Linked DNA regions of Xenopus tropicalis. The protein of the gene in region 1 interacts with the protein of each later gene in a biochemical or structural test. Links are inferred from orthologs where the notes say so. Each region holds a gene or a part of one and is shown in the gene's direction. Other genes may lie near its edges.

Region 1 (2,303 bases):
GAAATTGGGCCCTCTGTTACCTCACACACTGATCTTAATTTTTGGGGGGTTTTAATATATTTGTAATGTATAAATGAAAATTCTAATGCAGTCATTATTTCTCACAGTATATGTGTATATTATAGTAGAGAAGAGCTCTCAGTCCAGAAAGTCGAATTATCCTCTGATATATATAATTATAATATATAGTCTTGTAAAGAATCGGCACTCGCCAGTATCGGGCACAGGCTGGGTGCTGACAAAAATAATGCATCAAACTCAACAGTAGAAAGCACTCACAGCTACAGCATCAATCAGGTCAGTGATTTATTTCAGCATACAATCTACGCGTTTCGATCACCACAGGATCGTCATCGCCATCCTGATGACGATCCTGTGGTGATCGAAACGCGTAGATGGTATGCTGAAATAAATCACTGACCTGATTGATGCTGTAGCTGTGAGTGCTTTCTACTGTTGAGTTTAATAATAATAATAATATATATATATATATATATATATATATATATATATATATATATATATATATATATATATATAAATAAATATATAATATTATATATATATATATATATATATATATATATATATATATATATATATATATATATATATATATATATATATATATATATATATATATATATATATATATATATATATATATATATATATGATATGATGTTTTGCAGGAACACAGCAGGGTTGCAGCACAAATGCAGGCTACTCCAAACTTCCCAAAAACAGTCCATTTATTGTTAACACAAAAAGGCAGCAAAAAGGGCAATGAAAAATAGCTTGTGTTCAGCAAACAAAATACAAAAACACAGCAGGTATTACCAACAAAATGTCCCACGGGCAGCCCAATTAAACCAGTTTGACTTACTTTAGTCGATAAGGAAACGGCTCAAACCCACCGGTTTGTTTCGCGGAACTCGGGTGCATTCAAAGCAGCTTTCATGTGTAACTCTACTTTCACACTCCACACCTTTCCCAACTGCCTTTCCCTTCCTTAAACCCCCTTGGTTTTCCAGACCACACCCTGTGTTGGGTCTCTTAAAGGGGTGGTTCTTAAAGGGCTCAGAACCTAAAAAATGGGGATATATGCCTGCCATCTAGGACTTATCCCCTCAGACTTGTACAATAAATATATATAGCACATATAACAGCACATAATCCACTTGTGTTTGTATAATTTTAACACAGATGGGTATGACTTCTATGCAATTAAGATTTCTCTTTTGTTTTTTTAGGGATAAAGAATTATTCAAACTGGCCCACCATACCTCAGGTCTATTTTAATGGTGAATTTGTGGGAGGCTGTGATATTCTACTTCAGATGCATCAGAATGGAGACCTTGTGGAAGAGCTAAATAAGTTGGGGATTCGTTCTGCACTATTAGATGCTGAACCGAGCCAAGAGAAAAAGTAATGCACTGTGTTATAAACTTTATATGTCAAAAGGATAAAGGCCTGATTGCACCAGAAAAGCCTTATTTGCCTGGAGGAACTGTTGTACAGATGCTCTAATGTCCAAAAGAAGTCCATGTAATGTTCTCTATTAATATATCAAACCTGGTGGAGGACCTCCACCAACTTGTGCAGAAGCCTTTCTGCCATGGAATAGATTTGTGTAATATATTTAGATAATGACCACTGATGTGTTGAAAGAAAAAATTTACATTAAGAAAATATTGTAAACAATAAAATATACAGGTTTATCACTTGCCTGTTTAGACTTTGTTGCATTATTAAAAGGAGTTGGAACAGCATGTAATAGGCCTTTTTGACCCATGCACCATAACATGATATTTTTATCAGGCAAGAGAACTTGGGGGTCAGGAATAGAATTTTCTAGTAATCTTAATCAGTAAGTAGCACAAGATATTGGTGCCATTTTAAGCCATAAGTTAAAAAGAGACCTGCCACCAACTGGCAGAATTTATCCAGAATGTCCCACAGATAGTCCATATGTAACCAATCCACAGACAGGCTGATAAAATGAAGTCCTTGATGTTATTTTTTCTTCAGGTTGCACAGATCCAGTGGGGCTGATGGTTCCATAAGAGTTTAAGGGGCCTTAGTGGGAGGGAGGTTGCTCTCTAGGCCTCCCTTCATTCTCAAAAGATTGCTTCTCTCCTTTAAGGGGCATGAAATTTCCATGGATTTCACAACTTATTCTGCCTGTTGCTTCCTCTTCCTAAGTCTCCAAAAACTATATAGCCACTCATAAGCCCCTTAGGGCTCTGGCACACGGGGAGATTAGTCGCCCGCGACTAATCTCCCCGAACTACCATCCCACC
Region 2 (3,762 bases), on another chromosome or scaffold:
GCGTTTTTACGCTACGTTTTTTTCTCAGCCTAAAAACGCCGCACAAGCCACACAGCCCCTGACTATGGCGTTTTTCACCCTAGTACTGGTGACGTAGCAAATCCCGTTTCCATGGTGCTAATAGTGCAAAATACGCCGCGTATTTCAGCTAGGTCTGGCAGCTGCCTTTGTGTATACATAGGAATAGGTTGCTGTGCAAATACTGGCGTATTTCAGCCAACGCCTGAAAAATCCGTGCTAAGGCATTTTCTAGCGTATTTCCGCTTTGTGTGGTTTGCTTTGAGTCTTTTCAAGTTATTTCTATGGATGATGATATCGTGTGTTTTTCAGCCGCTGAATTAGAAAATACGCAGCGTAAAAACGCCACGTGTGGCATCAGCCTAACAAACTATTTTGAAATAAAACAGTCAGCAAAAAAGTCGTGCTGTACCATTGTGTGCTAGAGGCCGCTATTTCATTTTCCCACTCTTATGACATCGCTTGCAGCATGACGTCACGGGGCAGCTCAGGCGTTTCAGTCAGCTATTGAGCTCTTACTCTTAGGCAACACTTCGCTCCATATCTGACATACATGCGGTCATTGTCGGCTTGAGAACGCTAAACGTGTCCCGTTCAAGAAATAGCAAAGGGGGCGAGGGATTCATGCTGTCATAGCGCGCTGCCCCCAAAATATTGAGAGGAACAAACATAAAACAACCGAGTTGTTATATATCTCCCCCCTGGGTGCTGGCCAGCTGCTCTATAGCCGCTCCCGCTCTTACGTTCAATCTGCACCACGTGATGAGGACGCCGTGCGTCACATGTGACTGACGTTCGCCGGAGTACGAGTCGCCGCTAGGGACTGTCAGCAGCCAAGGACTCATGGACAGGTTTGCTGTACGGTAACATTGAAATCCCAAGTAAGGGATCGCGGTGTGTGCACGTACAATGTACGCAGCTAGGAATGTATTCGCTACAAGCAGGGTGAGTCTTACTTCCAGCAACGGCTATACAGTCCCAACTCGTTATACAGTGCGAGGGGCTGCTACAGGGCAGAGCGGGTTATACGGCACAGGGCAATACTGGCACTGCCACACAAGTCTATTGAATGTTAGGGGGCAGACTGCACTGAATGCTAAGCTACACCTTGTACTAGATCCCTCCAGCTGCCGAGACACCTTTCTCTGTAGTGAAGCACTGACCCCTAGATATGATTTCAAGGAAAAGCAACACCAAGAAATGAGTGTTTTAAAGTAATTCAAATAGAATGTACTGTTGCCCTGCACTGGTACAGCTTGTGTGTTTTCTTAAAGCAACAGTAACACCAAAAAATGAAAGAGCTTTAAAGTAATAAAAATATAATGAATTTTTGCCCTGCACTGGTAAAACTGGTGTGTTTGCTACAGTAACACTACTATAATTTATATAATAAGCTGCTGTGTAGGCACGGGGGCAGCCATTCAAGCTGGAAAAAAGGAGAAAAGGCACAGGTTACATAGCAGATAACAGATAAGTTCTGTAGAATACAATAGTGTTTTATCTGCTATGTGCCTGTGCCTTTTCTCCTTTGAATGGCTGCCTCCATGGCTACATAGCAGCTTATTTATATTAATTATAGTAGACTTTCTGAAGTAAACACACAACTTTTACCAGTGCAGGGAAGCAGCACATTATATTTTACTTACTTTTATACACTTTCATTTTTTGGTGTTACTGTTCCTTTAAGAAACACAACTATAGTTTATATAAACAAGCTGCTGTGTAGCCATGGGGGCAGCCATTCAATGCTAAAAAAAAAGGAGAAAAAAACAGGTTACTCAAGCCGATAACAGATATGTTCTGTTATATAATCAGTGGGATTCTACAGAGCTTATCTATGATGTATCCTGTGCTTGAATTGCTGCCCCCATGGCTATACAGCAGCAGATTTATATGAACTATAGATGTGAGTGTTTGAATAATTGCTCTTTAAACTATTAGGTGTCAGTAACCAATCAGTGACTTGTGGGGGCCATATGGGACATAACGATTTAGTTAGTTTGCGTTTGAATCTGACCTGCGTGCTCACAAACTAACTGAACAGTTATGTCCCTTGTGCCCCCTAAAGTCACTGACTAACTGAGAGGTTAGAGAGCTGAAAGCTGGAAGTAGTGTTCTGGCTATTATGTTAGACATCTGCTCCAGCCTTTATAGATTACATTTTTGCCTAACTGACTATATTGAAAACACTTTATTTTGTGCAGTCTATCTATTTTACCCAGTTTCATTTTTACATGGAACTGTTCCTTTAATCCTTATCTTTCTGTTAAGTCTCAGTCCTATTCGTATTCCAGTATCTCGTTCAAACCACTGCCTGGTTGCTACAGTAAACAAGACCCTAGCAACCAGGTAGCAGCTGAAAATCCACTCTGGACAACTGCTGAACAAAAAGCTACATAACTGAAAAATCACATAAAATGAAAATCATTTGAAAATTGTCCCAGAATATCAGTCTGTGTAATACTAAAATTTAATTTAAAGGTGAACAACTAAAAATAATACATTTGTTGGCTCAAGAATACAATTTTAAATGGTAGAGTGAATTATTTGCTATGTAAATAGTGTAATTTAGAAATAAAAAGTACACCATAAAATTCATGACAGAATCTCTTTAATTTCCCTCAGTTAATCTGTAGGATGGATGATGGAAGTTGTAGTTATTTAATTACTAAAGTGCAAAATGTTGGCTTGTTTCAGCTACGGTCATGGGTTGGGTAAAGAGTACTTGGTCATTTGTTTTATGTGTCGGCTGTGTTCAAATACTCATATTTGATATGTTTGATCCACAGACATGTATCCGCTGTATCACAAACAGATCCTTCGCTTCCAAGACAGAGGGAGAGTACAAGATAACTCAGGTGCTGAAAGCCAAGTTTCCGCTGGCCTCACATGTTAGAGTAGTTGATATTTCAGGTAAGATATCAAACTTCCTAAAGTTACTCACTGGGAATAGGGAAAGCTGAATGGTATGGTTTCACAAATTGTATGTTCAGGGCTATATTTGTGGTGCAGAATATTACTGTTCTTCCTAGTTAGATTCATAGAGTAAAAGTGGCCATACATGTAAACATCCGGTCGCCAAGCGGCCCCAGGGCCAAACGATCGAATTAGAATGCCGGTAATAGGCGCAATTGGTTTGGGGACTGCATCAACGACCCAATGCGGTCCCTGATCCGATTAAATTTTTTAACCTGCCCGATCAATATCTGCCTGATTTCAGGCCAGATGTTGGTCAGACAGGCCTGTCGTTTCTGCCCCTGCACGAGCCGGTAAGCTGCCGAATCAGTCTAAGGGACCAATATTGGCAGCTACAATCGCCCTGTGTATGGCCACCTTTAGGTAGCTTCTGTACAGATGTTAAATGAAGGTGTCTTCACAAAACAGCTGCCTGTCGGCTTGAATGAGGGAACAGAGAACAGGTGAAAGGTGGCTATAGCACGTTTGGCCGCTCCTATGGTATCCCTTCCTTTGCCCTATAGGCTGATTGATTGGCTATCCACCTTTAGTGCATTATGTGGAATTTGTAAAATACAGTTAAATAGTTGGTGGGGGGTTAAAAATAGATGAGCTGCAAACAAGTCAGACAAAGTAAGCATTTGTATAAAATAATACTTTTTCTGAATGTGCCACTAAGCTCTAAAAAGCTGAAAGAAAAAGTTGATCATGTGATGGGACCTTCAATATCTCCCATTTTTACCGACTGTTTATCTGTTCTAGGTGGCTGTGGAGCAATGTATGAAATCC
Region 3 (3,762 bases), about 40 Mb from region 1:
AAAAAAACTTAGGTTTTCTCTGTTAAGATGAGTTATAATAAGTATATTTATAGTCAAAATGTGTAATTCCTAGTGTTAATAAGCAACTCAAACCCCATATACCATAATGGCTAATGGCAGGTTAGGCCATAGGAAATATTATTGGTAATATTATATTCCTAATGTGGGTCCAGGCAGATTTCAGCGTAATTGTCCCCAATCCATTTGTCTCCTTCTTTAAAAACCAATGTTGACACGAACGAAACCTTTTTAGGAAACCACAAAGCCCCAAAATCATAATACTTGACCCTAAAAACAGTTTGGCTATTCATTATTTTGCCCCTGAGCTGAGAATGGTTCAGTCCAAAAGTGTCAGTCCAGATTTGTACAGCGCTGCGGAACATGTTGGCGCTTTATAAATAAATGTTAATAATAATAATAACAGTCTCCTGTTGGGTTCTGGGAGTTGCAGTTCACTAAGGTATGGAGCCTGCAGACCCCTATTCTATAATAGTCCTTTTTTTTTTTTTACCATATTTATCTATATTGATTTTTATTTTATAATTCCTTTAGCCAGGCAAAGCCTAAAGCAAAGCAAGATATAATAACATTAAACTATTACAGCAATTAAGCAACTATAAATGCGAAGCTAATTAACCGCAGAAGAGTAAAAGGTAACCAGACAATTAGCTTATTAGGGCAATAAATGCCGTATCACAGTTAAAAAAAAGCAATGCTGCCCCCTACTGGCCAGAATGTATATTAAAGCGCTTTACTTCTATAGCGTTCAGTAAAATTAAACCAGGTAAAGGCCCCATGAAACGGGATTTCTGTTTTGCAAATACCTCTGTTAAAATACAACAGTTGTGTTACGATGGCAGGGGCCGGGTAAAAACAAAGTTCAAGCTAAGCCCCGCTCCTGTGACAGAAGCAAACACGGCCGCGGGATTTCCTCAAAGGGTTTCAATACAGTGGGATTCTGGGAATTGTAGTTTATTAGCCGCATTAAGGTGAAGAAGGAAGTTGGAGTTACAGCACGGAGGAACTACAATTCCCTACGAGACAGGACGCGTCCTCTGACAGAACGCGGAAATACGCTCTGACCTAAGATTGGCTGTTGACCATAGGATTCCCGGGCCGAACCATACCAGGACGCCTCAGGTACCATAATATTACTGTTATTATTGGCTAATGCCTAGACTCTATACTCTATTCTGTTATCATACCGCTAGGAAGTAACCCATAGCAACCAATCACATTTTTGCTTTCATTGTATTGCCAGCTGGCTGAGCAAATGGAATCACTGATTGGTTGCTAAGGGTAGCTGTCCAGGGGCACAGTGTCAGGGTAGTTTTATTATCAAGATATTGTTTTTTTATTAGGTTACAGACTTGTGACAGTGCAGGGATCATATTTTGTTTCTTCTTCCTCTGTTCCTGGATAGTTATGGGCTGCATTTAGGGTTGCCACCTTTTTTCCCCCAAGTCTGACCAGGCTGCGGTCCAGGGAAGCCAGTGACTTCATAGGGGTGGGAATGGGCACATTGGGGGCAGGGTAGGGTTGCCACATTTCTTGAAAAAAATACCGGCCTTCCTATATTATTATGTTTTTCCCTATTAATAACATTGACATGAAGAATAATTTTTTCCGGCCAGGCCTGTAAAGTACTGGCCAGGTGGTAACTCTAAGGCAGGGTGTGGGTGGATCGGGGCAGGTATGGGCTGATTAGGGGTGGGAAGGACATGGATTACAAATTTACTGGCAATTACATTGCCGTATTACCAACTTGGTGGCAACACTAACTGCATTAAAGGTCCCCATACACTATAAGATCCGCTCGCTTGGCGATGTCGCTAAGCGAGCGGATCTTCACCCGATATCCCCACCTATGGGTGGGCGATATCGGGTAGCAAGGGACTTAAAAAAAAAATAATCCCTGGGGCCAAACGATCGGATTACATTTAAGGTTATGGGGCAGTCGGTTCGGGGACCGCATCAACGAGCCGATGCGGTCCCCGATCCAACTGGATTTTCTAACCTGGCCGATCGAGATCTGCCCAATTTCAGGCCAGATATCGGTCGGCCAGGTCGCTCTGTTCTGCCCATACACGGGCCGATTAGCTGCCGAATCGGTCCAAGGGACCAATATCGGCAGCTATAGTCGGCCCGTGTATGGGGGCCTTAAGTCACGAAAATATTTTGTTGGCCTCCACAGATAGAGCCTCACAAGTAGTCCAAGGGCATTGGCACATGATGCCCATACAAACACTTGTAATTAGAATTGTGGCAGTCGAAGCCTCAGTTGCCTACAGGCCCCACGATCACTCTGAGGTGATTTCCATGAGGGGCAATATTGGCCAAAAGCAATAATAAGCTCACAGTTACACCATGTGCCTTTGCTCACAATGTTTTTAAGCCTGAAATGCAGGGGATCCCCAACCTTTCTTACTCGTGAGCCACAGTCGAATGTAAAAAGACTTGGAGAGCAACACAAGCACCATAAAAGTTCATGGAGGTGCCAAATAAGGGCTAAGATTGGCTATTAGGGGCCTCTATGCACACTATCAGCTTACAGGGGGGCTTTATTTGGTAGGAAATCTTTTTTTTTTATTCAACCAAAACTTGCCCCCAAGTCAGGAATTCAAAAATAACTCCCTGGTTTGGGGGCACTGAGAGCAACATCCAAGGGGTTGGGGAGCAACATGTTGCCCCAGAGCCACTGGTTGGGGATCACTGCTGAAATGGAATCCAAATGCTTTCTGGGTAAGCACACACAAAAATATAGATGTTTCCTACTATGTTCACATATAAGTAACTTGGGATTTCTCTTTGGCCTGTAGCTCCTTCCCATGCTGATGCTACCGTTGAGCCTGCTCCGAACTAAATGCAGGATACCTTGGACACTGGTCACATTGCCGTATTCTAGATCACAGCTTTACATGGAGAGGCCAGTGGAGAACGCTATCCGATCCAAACTGACTGAGACCCTGAAGCCCAGCCACTTGGAGGTGCTGAATGAGAGCTATATGCATGCGGTGCCCAAGGGCTCGGAAACGCACTTTAAGGTGGTGGTGGTGTCGGAGAGCTTCCTCGGCAAGTCTCTGATCCAGAGGCATAGACTGGTGAATGAACTGCTGAAGGACGAGTTAGCTGGTCCTGTTCATGCCTTGTCCATCCAAGCCAAAACCCCTCAACAATGGGAGGAAAACCCTGCCATCAGCAAAAGCCCAGCCTGCATGGGGGGCTCGAAGCATGACCCTGAGATGGGCAGGAAACTTGGCACTCAAGTGTAGATGTGACCCCTCTAATAATGGGAACTTATATGTGAGATAAAGCAAAACATCTGATAACTACATTTTACTATTTCTGTAAAGAACTGTGAAAATTGTTAGATAAACCTGTTTGTGACCAGCTGTGGGCTGCGTACAAAATGGGTGCAGAGCGCTTCTGTACGTTTATGTGGTAGTCAATAATGGGTTACGGTGATGTCCCTGTCAAATGTAGGAATTAAATCATTATGTGCTGATAAATAGTGCTGTGTTTATTTCATATACTGCTTCCTCCCTGTATGCCAGTCTCACATTCTAGTATTGGCATTGTTACAGTTCCTTTTGCAGTGCTCTGAATGCCTCCTGGGGCAATGTATAAATGGAGAAGAAAAGCAACATCCAGTTTGGTGATGTGCAGGCCAGCCTGAAACCTGTGGGCATGCAATTTTAGCGGCGTGTGCGGGCTCCGTCCACAACCCAACCGATTCCTCCAGTGGCTGCCTGCCATTAGCTT

The links.
Region 2: the proteins of glrx5 (region 1) and bola3 form a complex in vitro, tested with the Homo sapiens proteins (4 studies listed by BioGRID and IntAct, with this or other methods). The link is inferred for Xenopus tropicalis from reciprocal best matches to the Homo sapiens genes GLRX5 and BOLA3.
Region 3: the proteins of glrx5 (region 1) and bola1 form a complex in vitro, tested with the Homo sapiens proteins (2 studies listed by BioGRID). The link is inferred for Xenopus tropicalis from reciprocal best matches to the Homo sapiens genes GLRX5 and BOLA1.

Annotation. Positions count from the first base shown.
Region 1 is NC_030684.2:88,818,917-88,821,219, forward strand, and holds the end of glrx5 (glutaredoxin-related protein 5, mitochondrial), read left to right. Parts: intron 1-1,253; coding exon 1,254-1,432; 3' UTR 1,433-1,721; downstream 1,722-2,303.
Region 2 is NC_030679.2:121,246,078-121,249,839, forward strand, and holds the start of bola3 (bolA-like protein 3), read left to right. Parts: upstream 1-906; 5' UTR 907-927; coding exon 928-963; intron 964-2,807; coding exon 2,808-2,931; intron 2,932-3,735; coding exon 3,736-3,762. UniProt on the Homo sapiens protein: Acts as a mitochondrial iron-sulfur (Fe-S) cluster assembly factor that facilitates (Fe-S) cluster insertion into a subset of mitochondrial proteins. Probably acts together with NFU1.
Region 3 is NC_030684.2:128,792,211-128,795,972, forward strand, and holds bola1 (bolA-like protein 1), read left to right. Parts: upstream 1-1,028; 5' UTR 1,029-1,140; intron 1,141-2,819; 5' UTR 2,820-2,828; coding exon 2,829-3,272; 3' UTR 3,273-3,509; downstream 3,510-3,762. UniProt on the Homo sapiens protein: Acts as a mitochondrial iron-sulfur (Fe-S) cluster assembly factor that facilitates (Fe-S) cluster insertion into a subset of mitochondrial proteins. Probably acts together with the monothiol glutaredoxin GLRX5. May protect cells against oxidative stress.